3 linked regions of the Caenorhabditis elegans genome follow. The protein of the gene in region 1 purifies or fractionates together with the protein of each later gene. This does not show direct contact. Each region holds a gene or a part of one and is shown in the gene's direction. Other genes may lie near its edges.

Evidence for each region.
Region 2: the proteins of pap-3 (region 1) and suf-1 fractionate together in Caenorhabditis elegans (co-fractionation; one large-scale study listed by BioGRID). This does not show direct contact.
Region 3: the proteins of pap-3 (region 1) and tftc-3 fractionate together in Caenorhabditis elegans (co-fractionation; one large-scale study listed by BioGRID). This does not show direct contact.

The regions. Positions count from the first base shown.
Region 1 is NC_003280.10:11,814,281-11,818,345, reverse strand, and holds pap-3 (Poly(A) polymerase), read left to right. Parts: upstream 1-1,770; coding exon 1,771-3,435; downstream 3,436-4,065. Other genes in the region: Y6D1A.2 (RING-type domain-containing protein), read left to right, coding at 1-18.
Region 2 is NC_003280.10:8,602,033-8,607,294, forward strand, and holds suf-1 (Suppressor of forked domain-containing protein), read left to right. Parts: upstream 1-1,813; 5' UTR 1,814-1,828; coding exon 1,829-1,921; intron 1,922-1,972; coding exon 1,973-2,068; intron 2,069-2,116; coding exon 2,117-2,149; intron 2,150-2,195; coding exon 2,196-2,395; intron 2,396-2,440; coding exon 2,441-2,958; intron 2,959-3,006; coding exon 3,007-3,475; intron 3,476-3,525; coding exon 3,526-3,736; intron 3,737-3,830; coding exon 3,831-4,173; intron 4,174-4,222; coding exon 4,223-4,320; intron 4,321-4,366; coding exon 4,367-4,513; 3' UTR 4,514-4,712; downstream 4,713-5,262. Other genes in the region: cpf-1 (Cleavage stimulation factor 50 kDa subunit), read right to left, coding at 1-19, 99-264, 329-378; rpl-26 (Large ribosomal subunit protein uL24), read left to right, coding at 761-909, 1,083-1,239, 1,393-1,515; F28C6.8 (Phosphatidylglycerophosphatase and protein-tyrosine phosphatase 1), read left to right, coding at 4,817-5,191.
Region 3 is NC_003283.11:10,206,183-10,212,353, reverse strand, and holds tftc-3 (TPR_REGION domain-containing protein), read left to right. Parts: upstream 1-2,009; 5' UTR 2,010-2,013; coding exon 2,014-2,574; intron 2,575-2,622; coding exon 2,623-3,498; intron 3,499-3,558; coding exon 3,559-3,822; intron 3,823-3,863; coding exon 3,864-4,287; intron 4,288-4,331; coding exon 4,332-4,468; intron 4,469-4,518; coding exon 4,519-4,634; intron 4,635-4,680; coding exon 4,681-4,780; intron 4,781-4,829; coding exon 4,830-5,359; intron 5,360-5,421; coding exon 5,422-5,527; 3' UTR 5,528-5,638; downstream 5,639-6,171. Other genes in the region: zhit-3 (Box C/D snoRNA protein 1), read left to right, coding at 231-345, 391-626, 674-877, 921-1,556, 1,602-1,778; rpc-25 (DNA-directed RNA polymerase III subunit RPC8), read left to right, coding at 5,753-5,965, 6,015-6,171.

The DNA.
Region 1 (4,065 bases):
ACTATTCTTCAAATGTGATATATTGTTATTCATAAAAATTTTAGTTGATAGGCCTTTTTGGTAATGCCTTTTAAAAATTGTTTTTAGAAAACTGTACAAAATGAAGTGAATTTTAATATTATTTATTAATTGGACAAATAAAAAAATAAAGAAATAGTTAAACCAGAAAGTATTACAATCGAATTGAGAAAATAATAAGACAAGTTTAAACTAACTTTTTTGCAAATTTTGTGTTCTTTCAGAATTTAAAAACGGTATTCCAAAAACTTCCATAACCGCCGAGTTCAAGCATAAAAAGTGAATTTTCAGTCATTTTTTTAGAGCGCATTTTAGGATTGAATGGAATAGGCCACTTACATGCAAATTAGTAGATTTTTTTTCATAATTGCAACATATGTTCAAATTGAAACAGCAACTATTTGTTCATGTTTATCTGTAAGTTTAGAATACAATTTCTTAAAATTAGCAGCAGAATCGATATCAACCTCGACGCTGCAAAGTTATCGTGATTATCCAATCGATTGAACGCTGCAACTATAATGAACGGAAGATGTCATTGACATATGTCATTATGCTCTCTGTCATTTCTATCTTCTGTCACCACACCGGACGGTCGTCTGGTTTTCTTGCTCTACTTTTTTTTGTTTTCTTCTGAACTAATTTTAATTAAAGTTAATACTCTATAATTTTTTTAATTTAATCACCCAAATTACTCATTTCAGGGTTACTCATTCTATAAATCTATACACACAAAGCTTTTTCAAATTAATTTATAGAACGAAATTAGAATGAGTTTACTCTTACACATTGTTTGTCTCATTCTAGAATCAAACGCTGTGTGCATATTCCAATTTTTTCCAAAACTTCCAAAAAAATTTAAACAATATTTTTCGATTTTAATCATTTTTCAACGATTTTTTTTTCAATAAGTTGATAACTTGAAAAAGGTGATTGCTACCTGTAGATTTTTTAAAAAATTATTCAAATTAGCATAATCGATATCTATCCCGACGCTGCGCATTAATCAATCGATTGAACGCTGCCACTAATAAGTGGAGATGGTCCGTTATATCATTGTGCTCTCTGTCATTTGTATCTTCTGTTTTCACGACGGATGGTCGTCTAGTTATTATGCTCTCCTTTTTTGTTTTCTCCTGTTTAATCTTCACTGTTCTTCCAAACTCATTTAAACTTAAATTATCAAAGTTGTTCGTTTCCTCTTAACCTTTGCACCATTCTTCTCGTAAATTCCAGACTAACCGAATGTTTTTGAAAAGCAATTTTTAATTTTTGTAAACATATTCTGCAATTTTTAAATTCTGTAATTTCCTTTCAAATTTTTAAAATTAATATTGTATTTACCTTTTAATTTTCATTCCAAATTGTGTACCCACATAACTTTTATTTCAAACTTCATTTTTATTGCAAGAATAATTTACTGTCAAAAATGTAGATTTTTCTTTAGAACAAAATTCAACTTGCATATTCCAAAAATGATTATTTTTAATTGAAACGAAATTTTTTTTAGCAATTCTTTCATTTAGTGGGGCAATTTACAAGAATTTTTTACCAGTTCATTTTAAATATTTCCTTTTTGTTTTTTTTGTGCAATTCCAAAATCCAAAATTTGTGTTTCCAATTGAAATTAAGATTTTCAAACGATTTCATTTACTCTTCGCCTTTATTGCCCTTCTTTACCCGTTCTCCTATCCTCTTACTAACATTAGCATTTTTTAGAAACTTTACGATCTCTCATTTACCCTTTGTAAAATGACATCTGTAAATACCCTCTCTGTGAACATCACTGTCCCAATCACTCGCACATTTGGAGTTTCTCAACCAATTTCCACTGCTCTCCCAAATGCGAAAGACTTGGAGCTGACGTCATCACTTCAAAAAACACTCAATCAATACAACAGTTATGAGCCACAGGAGGAGACATCACAACGAGTCAAAGTACTGCAGAAGCTCAATGGATGTGTCAAGCAATGGATTCAAAAGATCACAGAAGCAAGATACCCAAAGGATCAATTGTTCAATGCCGGTGGACAGTTAATGGCTTTTGGTTCGTATCGCCTCGGAGTTCATTCAAGTGGAGCTGACATCGACACACTCGTACTGGCGCCACGACATGCCACACGTGCTGACTTCTTCTCCAGTTTCAAGCAAATGCTCGCTAAGGATCCAGAAGTCACCAATCTGTGCGCTGTGGAAAACGCTTTCGTTCCAATCATGACAATGAAGTACTCTGGTATTGAAATCGACTTTCTTTTTGCTCGACTTGCCTTGAAGGAAGTACCTGAAGATTTGGATATCCTAGATGACGCTCTTCTGAAGAATCTGGATCAAGAGAGTGTGAGAAGCCTGAATGGATGCCGAGTTGCTGAGAATTTGTTGAAGCTAGTCCCAAACCAGGAAAACTTCTGCATCACTCTTCGTGCCATCAAATTGTGGGCTAAAAACCATGGAATCTACTCGAATTCAATGGGTTTCTTTGGAGGAATCACATGGGCAATTCTGGTTGCTCGTGCTTGTCAGCTTTATCCAAACGCGAGTCCATCCAAATTGATTCAGAAAGTGTTCTTCATTTTCTCCACATGGAAATGGCCGGCTCCAGTGCTTCTTGATTTCATCAGCAGTGATCGGATGGATTTGGCTCAGCTCAATCAATTAGTTTGGGATCCTAGAAGAAATCAATCTGATCGATACCATTTGATGCCAATTGTGACTCCTGCATTCCCACAGCAAAATTCAACTCACAATGTGTCACGGTCATCAATGAAAGTGATCCAGGAAGAAATGAAGGATGCATTGATCACATGCGACAATATTCAGAATGGAAGTTGCAATTGGATGGATCTTCTAGAAGAAATCAACTTCTTCAGTCGGTACAAGCACTTCATTTCCTTGTCAATGACAGCTGAAACTGAAAAGGATGAGTTGGCGTTTGGAGGATTCTTCGAGTCAAGGATCAGACAACTTGTGCTCATTTTGGAGAAGAATCAGGGAATCAAGCTTGCTCATATCAATCCAAAGAAGTTCAAAGCTGCTAAGGATCCAAAGAAATCAGTTTGGTTCATTGGTTTGCAATTTGATGAGAATGTGAAGAATCTGGATTTGACAAAGGACATTCAGCAGTTCAAGAGAAACATCGATTATCAAGCAAAGTCTGTGAAAGATATTGAAGCGAATTGTGCAGTGGAAACCGATTTTTCCTATGTGAAGAGATCAGATTTGGCTCAGACGATTTCTGTGAAAGATCTGAAACAAGGAAAAATGTACAAGAAGCCCGAGAGCAAGGATCCAGTCAGCAAGAAGCGGAAAGTATCAGAAAATGCTCCAAGTGTTCCAAAAAAGCAGAAATTGGATGTTTCCGAGAAGTCTTCAGTGGAATCGTTACTCAAAAACTTGAAGAAGAAGAGCTTAATTGTTTGAATTTCTCCTATTTTTTGTTTCTATTTATTTCTATTCATTTGTATTATTTTCTGGTGTTCTTAATTTCTGGTGTTAACAATTTCTATTATATTATGTTCCTAATTTCAATAATCTTTAATTTAATTTTTTAACTTGTGCTATTATCTTCTTGATTCGGTTGTAATACTTTCTGGTTTAACTATTTCTTTATTTCAATTTTTTAAAATTAATAAATATTATTAAAACTCAATTCAATGTGTTGGAAACTTAACAAATAATTGAATTAAGACGGAAACCAATTTTTTTGGTCAATTTTTCGAAAGAATTTGATTATTGAAACTTTAGTTTTAATGGAAATAATTGTTATTCACCATGTGCTCAAAAATATATCCAAAAATGAACTTAATCCCCGTGAATTTTCAACAAAAACATTTAGTTTTCAATGGATTTTGTTCAAAAATTTCATTCATGAAATTTTTCTAGCCCTTGTGATTTGGTTTTCATGAATGTTACATGAAAGCGTTTTCTATTTCAAAGCTACGGGGCATTTTTCAATTTAAATTTTATCCGACGACATCAAAAAACCGAGATATAAACCATCATGCACCTAGACCGCCAGATTGAATGACGTTGTTTCAGCACGAGAAATCT
Region 2 (5,262 bases), 3.2 Mb from region 1:
AGACGGGTTCGAATTGCATCTTTAAAATACAAAATTATTAGATAGTTTCAGGCATTTTGTGACGTTTTTGTGACCAAATCGTAAAAAATGAAACTTACCGGCGAGGATTTTTCTTCGGCTTTGTAATCTGGATCCTCTACAAATTGCTTTGCAATTGTGACCAGTCTGAACAATTTATCTGAAGGCGGCGGAGCTGGAGCAGAACATCCCAAAGTATTTGCGAGGTTGACGGCAATTTGTTGATGACCATCGTAGAAAAGCTGCCTGAAATAAGTTTTTGAAAGTATGAACTTTTTTAGTTTTGCTTGTTTAGCGCGAGATAACTTACCCAATAATCAGCCGATACATGTATTCACGATCTTTGATATCTGGCTTCATTATTAAAGTATGTTTCCTTGAATAAATATTCGAAAATCCTCAAAGCGCAATAAATTCCTTGCAAAATTTAAACTTATATTAAAGGCGCATGCCGTTTCCCCTGCGGTGGGTCTCGCAGCGATCTCCCCTCAAATCGTAGTCGGCTGCCTCAAACTAAATTTTCCTCGACGTTTTTCTCACTGGCCTAAATTTTTTTAGGAATTTTGTCGGTATTTTTTATTTTCAAGCATGTAATTGTCTCTAACATTAATGAGTTTTCAACCTGCATGTGTGCTCTCCTTGTAATTCGAGAATATTTTTTATTCTCGAATTTGAATTATACTTTCTACCACCGTAATTTTATTATTGTTACATAATATAATATTTATTTTTTCAGGTAATAATGAAGGTCAATCCGTTCGTCTCCAGCGATTCCGGAAAGAGCCGCAAGGCCCACTTCAACGCTCCATCCCACGAGCGCAGACGCATCATGTCTGCCCCACTCACCAAGGAGCTCCGCACCAAGCACGGAATCCGTGCTATTCCAATCAGGTTGGTTTTTTTAAATAGAAAAACTTTACTGTTTCCATTAAGTAGTCCCGTACGTTGAAATTTTCACGTACGGTTTGGACAATATGGAGAAATGAATGTTACTCTTTTTGCAATGACGCTGAAACATATTTTCGCTTTGTTAGCCATAAGTTTAAAACAATTTTTGATTTCAGAACCGATGATGAGGTCGTCGTTATGCGCGGACGCCATAAGGGAAACACTGGACGTGTCCTCAGATGCTACCGTAAGAAGTTCGTTATCCACATCGACAAGATCACCCGCGAGAAGGCTAACGGATCCACTGTGCACATCGGAATCCACCCTTCGAAGGTGAGGTTTGTATAAACTAGTTCCGGTGCACATCGACTCATCACAACTGTCAGGTTTGTGAGTTCCATGATTCTTAATGTTGCATTCGGACTAGGAAAAGTTTATTATATTTTGAAGTGACCGAGTTCGTTCTTTAACCCAAATTATGTTCAGGTCGCTATCACCAAGCTGAAGCTCGATAAGGATCGTCGTGCCCTCGTTGAGCGCAAGGCTGCCGGACGTTCCCGCGTCACTGGAATCCTCAAGGGAAAGCACACTGACGAGACCGTCAACTAAATTGTTATTAATTACAAATAAATTGTTGATTCTTTTCCATTTGTTTTGGCTTCGATTCATTTTCAAAGAAAATATTTTAATGCTATCTGGAAATTCCAGTAATAAGTAAACAAGAGTAATAGTACAGAAAAAGCTATTTAAAGGGTCTTCTATCCATTTGAGAAAATGTATCTGATGTTTTGGCGAGTTTCCTCATTTTCCACTTTCGGTCTGCATTGCGCGTCAAATTTGATGCACTGTGTTTGCACAATTTCACATTCTATGAAATTATCCTTGATTTGAACAAGATAGTATTGCTATTTATTTTCAGAAGATGTCTGGGTTGAGCATGCGTAACCCAGAGCGTCGGATTGAAACAAATCCATTCGACGTAGACGCGTGGAATTTACTGCTCCGAGAACATCAGGTAGACATTTGACAACAAATTGAATCGACGTCTATTCCGTTCATTTTTCAGTCACGACCGATTGACCAAGAACGAGATTTTTACGAAAGTCTTGTAAAACAATTTCCTAACTCCGGACGGTACTGGAAAGCTTACATCGAGCACGAGGTATTACAAAATAGAAATTAGAAAAATAAAAATGATTAAAGTTTTCAGCTTCGTTCCAAAAATTTCGAAAATGTGGAGAAGGTAATTTATCCCGGTATTTGATAAATTTAATAGTTTTCTTTTTCAGTTATTCAGTAGATGTCTTGTGTCTGTTCTCAACATAGATCTGTGGAAATGCTATATTCATTACGTATTCGAAACGAAAGGACAGAGGGATCAATATCGTGAAGAAATGGCTAAAGCTTACGATTTCGCACTAGAAAAAGTTGGAATGGATGTCCAGGCTTACTCAATCTTCACAGAATACATAGCATTTTTGAAGAAAGTGTAAGTTTTATACAAACGTTATTTGATTATTTTATTAACTTGCAGGCCGGCAGTTGGACAGTATGCAGAAAATCAGCGAATCACAGCAGTTCGAAAAATTTATCAGAAAGCCTTGGCAACTCCCATGCACAATCTAGAATTGATTTGGAATGACTATTGCACTTACGAGAAGGCGATCAATATTACATTAGCAGAAAAACTGATCGCTGAACGAGGAAAAGAATATCAGAATGCTCGAAGAGTTGAAAAAGATTTACAACAAATGACACGAGGATTGAATCGGCAAGCGGTTTCAGTGCCACCTAAAGGAACCGCCACAGAATTCAAACAAGTTGAGTTATGGAAAAATTTGATTGCATGGGAGAAAACGAATCCTTTACAAACCGAAGAATACGGGCAACATGCGAGGAGAGTTGTGTATACTTACGAACAATCACTTCTCTGCTTGGGTTACTACCCAGATATTTGGTATGAGGCAGCAATGTTCTTACAAGAAGCTAGTCATACATTGGATGAGAAGGGAGATGTTAAGATGGCACAAGTGTTGAAATTGGAAACAATTAGTGAGTTGCCTAAAACATATTTATTACTTAATCTTGAAGTTTATTCAGGTCTCTATGAGCGAGCAATTACTGGATTGATGAAAGAATCGAAGCTTCTATATTTTGCATACGCCGATTTCCAAGAAGAGCACAAACAATTTGAAGCAGTCAAGAACATTTATGATAGATTGTTAGGAATTGAACATATCAATCCAACATTAACTTATGTGCAATTAATGAGATTTATCAGAAGGTCTGAGGGACCTAATAACGCTCGACTGGTTTTCAAAAGGGCACGAGAGGATAAACGAACAGGATATCAAGTATTTGTAGCTGCTGCATTGTTGGAATACAATTGTATGAAGGATAAAGAAGTTGCCATCCGAGTATTCAAATTAGGATTGAAGAAATATGAAAATGAGCCAGAATTCGGTCTGGCCTACGCCGATTTTTTGTCTAATCTGAATGAAGATAACAACACGAGAGTAGTTTTCGAAAGGATTTTGACATCGTCAAAGCTCCCCGCCGACAAGTCCATGTGAGTTTTTTCATCGAATTAATTGATAATTTAATAGTAATATTTTCCAGCCGGATTTGGGATCGATTTTTGGACTTTGAAAGCTGTGTTGGTGATCTTGCTTCTATTCTCAAGGTTGAAAAGAGGCGAAAAACGGCATACGAGGAAGCTCAAAAAGATCAGACAATGAACCATTCTATGCTTGTGATTGATAGATATAAGTTTATGGATCTAATGCCGTGCAGTGGAGAGCAACTGAAACTTATTGGATATAATGCACTGGTAAGTGAAATTTTACAATTATATATAGCTTTTTATTGATTATTCAAAGTATTACTAACTGAAAGTTTTCAAAAAGAAACAAATTCATTTTCAGAAGGGTACGGAAAGCATCGCCGGACCATCATTCGTTGGTTCAAAGAATGTTCCAACTCATGGACCACAAGCAGCCAGTGCAATTATGGGTGGAGCTGGTGGACACGCAGACGTGGCACGATACGGTTTCCCAAGACCCGACATATCACAAATGATTCCATTCAAACCACGAGTCAATTGTACGGCATCGTTTCATCCGGTACCTGGAGGCGTATTTCCACCACCACAATCAGTTGCACATCTCATGTCTCTTCTTCCTCCTCCAACTTGTTTTATTGGACCATTTATCAATGTGGAATTGTTGTGCAATATGATCAATAATATGCAGCTTCCAAACGTTTCATGTAATTTTTTTTTTAAGTTAGTTACTTGTATTAATTTTTAATATTTCAGATCCAAAGTCAGAGGACAATATGCTTGGCCCAATGTTGGAACAAGACGTCAAAAAAGATATGTATCAATTGTTAGCAACAACGTCAGATCCATCAGCAGTTAGTTTTCAAAAAAAAAAGCTAATTCCTCAAATATAATTTTCAGGTCGTTCGTTCATCAGCTCTGTCCGATTTGAAACGAAAGCGCGGAGATTCAGATGATGAGGAAGATTATAGTCATTTGGGAGCTGTAATAGGATCTCTTGGCAGCAGGGATGCCTACAAACGACGGATGAATAAGAAAAATGAGTAGATTGATAGTAGAAAATGCATCTCTGTCGATGAACTGTTATTATTTATTTATTCTTGTTGTTTTATCTTCTTTTTCCTCATTTGACCTTTTTCCTCAATTTCCGATCTTTTCCCAATTTTCTTTCCATTTCTATTTATTTTTAACAATTTAATTCGTTTGATTTTCTTTTTTTACACTGAATAAATCTAATCTGGTTCTCGATGGGAAGTAAGATTTTAAAAATGTTGGTAATTAAACCATTTAATCTTTCGGAACTTTCAGAAATATAATAAAACAACTCTAGAAAATTTAAAAATTTTCCAGATGCTTACAAGTTTGATCTTCTATCCATCATTGGGATATAACTTATTCAGAAATTATGTTCAACCGAATCGATGGGCCTGGTATAATCGTGTTGATGAGACTCTTATTCTTGGAGCAATGCCATTCCGATCAATGAAGGATGAGCTCATTCAGAAGGAAAATGTTGGTGGAGTCGTATGTTGTACTGAAGAATTCGAGTTAAAAGCTGCGATGAATGCAATGAGAGAAGTTGATTGGAAGAATGAAGGTGTCGAGTTTTTTGCTGTGCCGATGAAAGATTTTACGGGAACTGCGCCAAGAGCAGAGATCAACGAAGCGGTGGAATTTATTGAGAGTGTCGCCTCGAAAGGAAAAACTGTTTATGTGCACTGCAAAGTAAATTTCTGAAAATTTGTCATTAAAAGAAATTGAAGAACGATAAAAATAATTTAGTTGTAAAATTATTC
Region 3 (6,171 bases), on another chromosome or scaffold:
TTTTCAAAAATGATTAGCATTTTGCTTGATTGTAATCACGTGCCCATTTTGTTTGACATCTGGAAGACAACGAAAAATGTGGTGCTAAATTTTCGGCGTCTCAAGCATTTTGTAGTGCATTTCTTTAAAAGAATATATAAATTTCAATATGTTAAACTAAAAATAGGCTTTTATTACTTGCGATTTAAATAAACTTCGAATGTCGCAAGAGTAATTGAATTTTCAGTAATATGACTACGAGCCATACTCCTGAACCAAAAGAAGTAGAAGACTATCAGGAAGACGGAGAAATACTGGACGATGATGATGATGTACCAACGGAAATTCCAAATATAACTTCTGAATGTTAGTTTCAAGTTTGATATCAATTTAAACAAAAACAATTTTCAGTTTTGGTGAATTATCCCTCATCGGAAGACGAAAAATCTCCTGAAGACGTTATCAAAGCCTACAAGAGGAAAATTGAAAATCAAAAGAATGTGGAAAACGAGGAATCTGTAATCCCCGCTATTGATCCAAAATTATGTAAAGTTTGTTTGAAAAACGAGCACAAGTACAAATGCCCAAGATGTGAAATGCGGACATGTTCACTGGATTGTTCAAAGAAGCACAAAGCGGATAATAATGTAAAGTTGTTCACGTTTGAAAAAAGCAATTTTATTTGACTATTCAGTGTGATGGAGTACGGCAAGCGTTTACCAAGGTAGATAAATTGTCTCAATATGATCCACAAAAGTCAATTGATGATCAGAAATTCATGCACCTGATGAAAGAGAAAGTTGGGTTAGGAGCTGAACCAGTTGGTGGTGTCGGTAATGATGTGAATAGTTCGGATGGAGAAGAGAAACCAGTTGATCCGAATGCACTTCGATATACAGTAAGTAGTAGTATCTGTCAGCTTCATAAATATCGAAATTTAGACCAACTCTCCCACCGAGAGATATCTTCTCAACGCGGCTCGATTCCGTCATATTTGGTTAGGATTTGTTGGCGAACAAGAAAATGAGAGCAGACACGAGCAACATTCTGATACTATTTTTTGGACTTTGAAACTATCATTCAAAAAACAAACCGCGGACGGAGGTATAGAAGTATTCGAAAAGATAGTTAACAATATTCCTGAAACAATTCGAGTAGCAACAGTTTTGAAGCAATTCTTCAAACCCCGCCAATATGGATGCATTGTCTCTGAAAGCGACCTCGACGTTGAGAAGCTCAAGCCGTTTATTGATCGCGGAATTGACGATGTCAACGTTTATATGGAAGTTCACGCAAATCCAGAACGATACTACGGAATTATTACTGATAGCACCATTCTTGAAATGACAAGAACTCGAGTCGTTGCAGATTTTCCAAAATTAGTAATTACTATGAAGGACGAATTTATTGAAAGTATGCAGTTATTGTCTATGGAAGAACTTGCTGAGATTCAAACCAAATACGGAGGTGTAGGAAATCAAAGATTCGGAGGCGGCGGTAGAGGACGTGGTGGTAGAGGCTTTCATCGCGGAGGCGCCAATCGAGGTGGAGGAGGCTCGAATCATAATATCTTCAGAGTTAGTGGTTCAATATTTATTCAGATTCAAAATAAATGATTTCAGAAAAGACCAGGACAAGATGGAGGTCAAGACGGTGGTTTCAAGCGTGGACGCGGCGGAAATTTCCACGGAGGAAGCCGAAGAGGTGGATATCAGAACCGCACCCATCAGAATATCGATACCTTCGACCCATTCGAGCCCTTCTCCGGACCAAATCGACTTCCTATGGAGTACAATTGATTTGTTTTTTTTGTTGAAATATTTGGTACATTTTGTTGAATTTTATTCGTTTTTATCCATTTTTTGTACAACGTTGTTACACTTGTTATTTCTACATTTTTCAATTTTTTTTTTATAAAACATGAATGTTAGAGTTAATGGTCGAAATTCAAATTTTCATCGCGTACCGATCGCTTCTTTTTATTTTAAAACAGATCACAAACTTCTTTTTCATAGTATTATTGCTTGAAGAAACATGGATCCAAATCAACCATCAACTTCCGATTTCTTAATAGAGGAAGAAGAAGAGTACGGTAATATTTTAGAACAAGGTTCTGATGTTCCTGAAGTAGAAGAATACGATTTTGATGATGATGATGATACAAATGGAATTATTGCTGGAATTGATACAAAACCTCATCTTACTGGATTACACAATGGGTCCGGGAATAGAAAAAGAGTAGAAGAGCCAGCTGAAGCCATTGATGATGAAGAATTAGTGAACGCTATCAATAGATTCATGAGAAATGAATATGACTATGATCAATTTATGCGGGTTACTGGAGGACAAACTCTCAAGGAAGAGTTAGGAGCAAAGCAAAAAAGATCGGCAAGAAACAATGTGGTCGACGAAGTCGAAGAAATTGATACTGCAGATGATGATGAAGAAGAGGACGATGAAGATGTAGAGTTAATGGAAGACGTTGAAGAAGTGTCAACTTCTCAACATGCTGGAAGTTCATACTCTTTTCAGTCTGCAGGACCTTCTGATCGCTACGACGCTCTTCCCGAAGAAGCTCGATATATTATGACACAGGTTTGCATTGTTAGACTATCGATATTACTAGAATGAGAAAGGTTACAGATGATGTCTGGTAAAGATGAAGGACAGGTAAACCATTCCGATGAAATGGAAGTTGAATATGAAGTAGAAACTGAAGAAAGAGAACCTCCTCCTCTGAAACAAGTAAAAATAGAAGGCCAGAAAGCAGATTCTACAAGTACAGAAACTCCAGCCACAAATGCAGAACCTCGAGATCGAGGAAAATTGAAAAGATTGGATGCTATGTTGGGTCAGGCAAACGTGTTAGCTGCTCGTGGAAATATCACCGATGCCATGGAAATTCTTCGAGAAGTAATTAAACAGGATCATAAACATGCGATTGCTTATCAACAGATAGCCACTGTATATGAACAGTTAGGAGATCATCAAAAAGCTCTTCAATTTGGTTTACTGGCATCGCATCTAGATCCGAAGACTCCACCAGATGACTGGGTACATTGGGGAGATGAAGCTGAAAAATTCGGAATGATTGAAGAAGCTGCCGTTTGTTACGATAGAGCTATTCATCTCAATAATGAGAATTGGAAGTTTTACGAAAAAAGAATTGAAATGCTTGATCGGCTGAACCTACGACCTCTCGCAATGCGTACTCGTCTACAAGCTGCTCAATTGATCAACAATGAAATTTTACAAGTGGATTTTGAGTGGTTTCATGATTTGATTCGCAAAGTCGCTCAGTACTACATTACAATGAATGATGAAGAGAAAGCAATTCAATCTCTCGAAGCATTTGTTCTCCGGAGTAAAGAATTCGAACGAGATGCAGAACCACAACATGAAACTCTCATTGGAATGTATTTAGCAAAGAGCAAATTCCGACAAGCTGGAATGTCAATTCTGGCAATGTGCAATGGTGTCAAAGCAATTCGTTCTACAACAAAGGATCCCGCATGCCTTGTAAGTTGTTCATAAAGTCTATCACTGTGTTGTTTATAATAATTTATAAAATTATTTCAGATAACTTACACAAATGGAACATATGAATGTTTGCCTTTTCCACCTGTCGGAAGCGATATCGATTATGATATTGATGTCAATCTGTTTCCAGTCAGTATGCACTGCCATCTCGTCATTTGTCTCTTCAGTTTGGATGAAGTCGAACAGTCTTCCGTGTTGGAACATAAATTATTGAAAAGAAATTTCAATGTAGAAGAAGATGAAGGATTTATTCTAGATGTGCCAAGGCTTTACAAGAACAGAGGACATCCGAAACTTGCAATGGTGAGAAATATTATGTAATAACAAAATACAGTTTTTTTTAGAACTTCCTGGATCAATTGACCAAAAATCCTTGTTACAACAACGAAGCATCTGGTGCTTACTGGTATCTGAAAGGAAGTCTTGAAATGATGCAGAAGCATGATGATCTAGCAATGGAAGCATTCAATAAAGTTCTGATACTACAACCGGATCATATTGATAATCGTATCCATTTGTCAACTCTCCAGCAAAAATCTGGGTTTTTCGAAAAAGCCCTCGAAACCTTGGAAAATTATGACCTGGAAAACTGCTCATCGATGCCAGATGAACGTCTTCTTGCTCGTCGAGCAGACGTTTTATTCGAAGCAGGAGATTCTGAGCAGTTTGTAAGGATCACGAGAATGATGCTGGCTCCCCACTTCTACAAAGTCTATATTTCTCCAGATATTTTGAAGAAACGACGGGTTACCAAAGGAAAAACGACTAGTAAGTGAAATAACATTTTAATTGTCTTCAATACGAATTTCCAGCACCTGCTCTCAGTAATACTTTGAAAACTTGTGCTTTTGGAGTTGTTAAACATACAAATTGGGAACGCCTTGTCAAAAGGCTGGGAGCAACTGTAGAAGCCAATGGGACTTTTCAAACATCGCTTTCGGGAACAGATGTAATCATTATTCGAGCATACATTTGATTGTGTAAATTTTTAATTTTCAGATACATGACTACTGTTTGAAGTTAATCGAATGTTTAAATAAAATGGAGAAACATCAAGACGCACTCATTGTCTGTTGTTATGCATTTTTACATCCAACTCTTTTCAAAGCCGACAAGTGAGCTAATTTGTTCAAAATTTTCCACACATTACAAAATTTTCAGAATCTCCACTTTCCAGAATTTAGTATATTTTTGTGCAATCAAAGCAAGATGTTGGAATTTGGCATTTGAATATGTTAGATTCTTTCACACTTTTTCTTTGGTAACAATTTGTATCTTATTGGACGCATTTAAGTAATTTAAATTTCCAGGCAGTCAGCGATCCTCAAAATGGCTCATTCTCTGACGTTCTCCAAAAACGCCTTTTCAATGCAATGAACTACGTATTCGTCAACTCTCAGAATGTCTGCTACCATCGATTTATCATGAGAGCACTCGTCAAAGCTAAAGATAATCATGCTCTTCAAGCGATTTCAGGCAATAATTCACTTATCACGGGAACATACCGACATGCAATGGGAGAGTATCTTCGAGTATGGGTAGCCAATAAACGAAATCCACTCATCTGTATGCTGCTTGCTCTCACTTTCACTCATATGTCTTGTAAGAAGGATCTCTCAAGTAGACACCTCATCGGAATCCGAGGAATTGCTTTTATGAAGAAGTATTCAAAAGCACGGGCTTGCCAACAAGAAGTCTTTTATAACATTGCCAGAATGTTCCATCAAATGTCGATTCTCCCTCTCGCCAAACATTTTTATGATAAAGTATTGGAGGTTGATCCGCCGTGTGTGTTTGATTTTGATGAAGATGGCAATGAGGTTATTATTCCAGCAATGAAGTAAGACAATTTTAAAAATAAATTAGAAATTTCTGTCTGTAGAAATACTATTAAAATTTCAGATATGACCTGAGAAAGATGGCTGCTCACAACCTGGCTTTAATCTACCGAACATCAGGAAACAATTTCGCCGCTAGGAAAATTTATGAAAAATATCTTGTTGTTTGATTTTTTGTTGAAGAATAATTTTTGTTAATCTATCCAATGTCTGACATTGTGTGGTCTAATTTATAAGTAGCAATCCCATCGTACTTTTTTAAACAATTACTTATAAATTTTCTTTTTTATTATTTTTATTTCATTATATTTGGTTCTGAGAATATAGTTCAAGCTTCCATTCAATATCTGCTGATACTGATGCCGTATAAAAGGAAAATGTTTAATATTTACAGTATGTTCATTCTTTCTCTACTGCACGATACGGTGGCTATTCAGCCTCATCAATTGAGCTCTGATCAGCAAATTGTTATCAAAAAACGGCTCAATGAACGTCTCGCCAACAAAATTATTCCGGATCTTGGTCTCTGTATTTGTGTCTATGATATAAATGAAATTGGTGATTCGTACATTTTACCCGGCGAAGGAGATTGTAGAGCGAGAGTTAAGGTAATAAATCAATGTACAGTCGTATTTGAGAAATGAAATAAATCTTCAGTTCCGTATGATCGTTTTTCGGCCATTTGTCGATGAAGTTATTGAGGCCAAAGTGATTGGTTCATCACGACAAGGTCTTTGTCTAACAATTCAATTCTTCGAAGACATTTTTGTACCGGCGGAAAAGCTTCCAGAACCTCATGTTTTCGAAGAAGAAG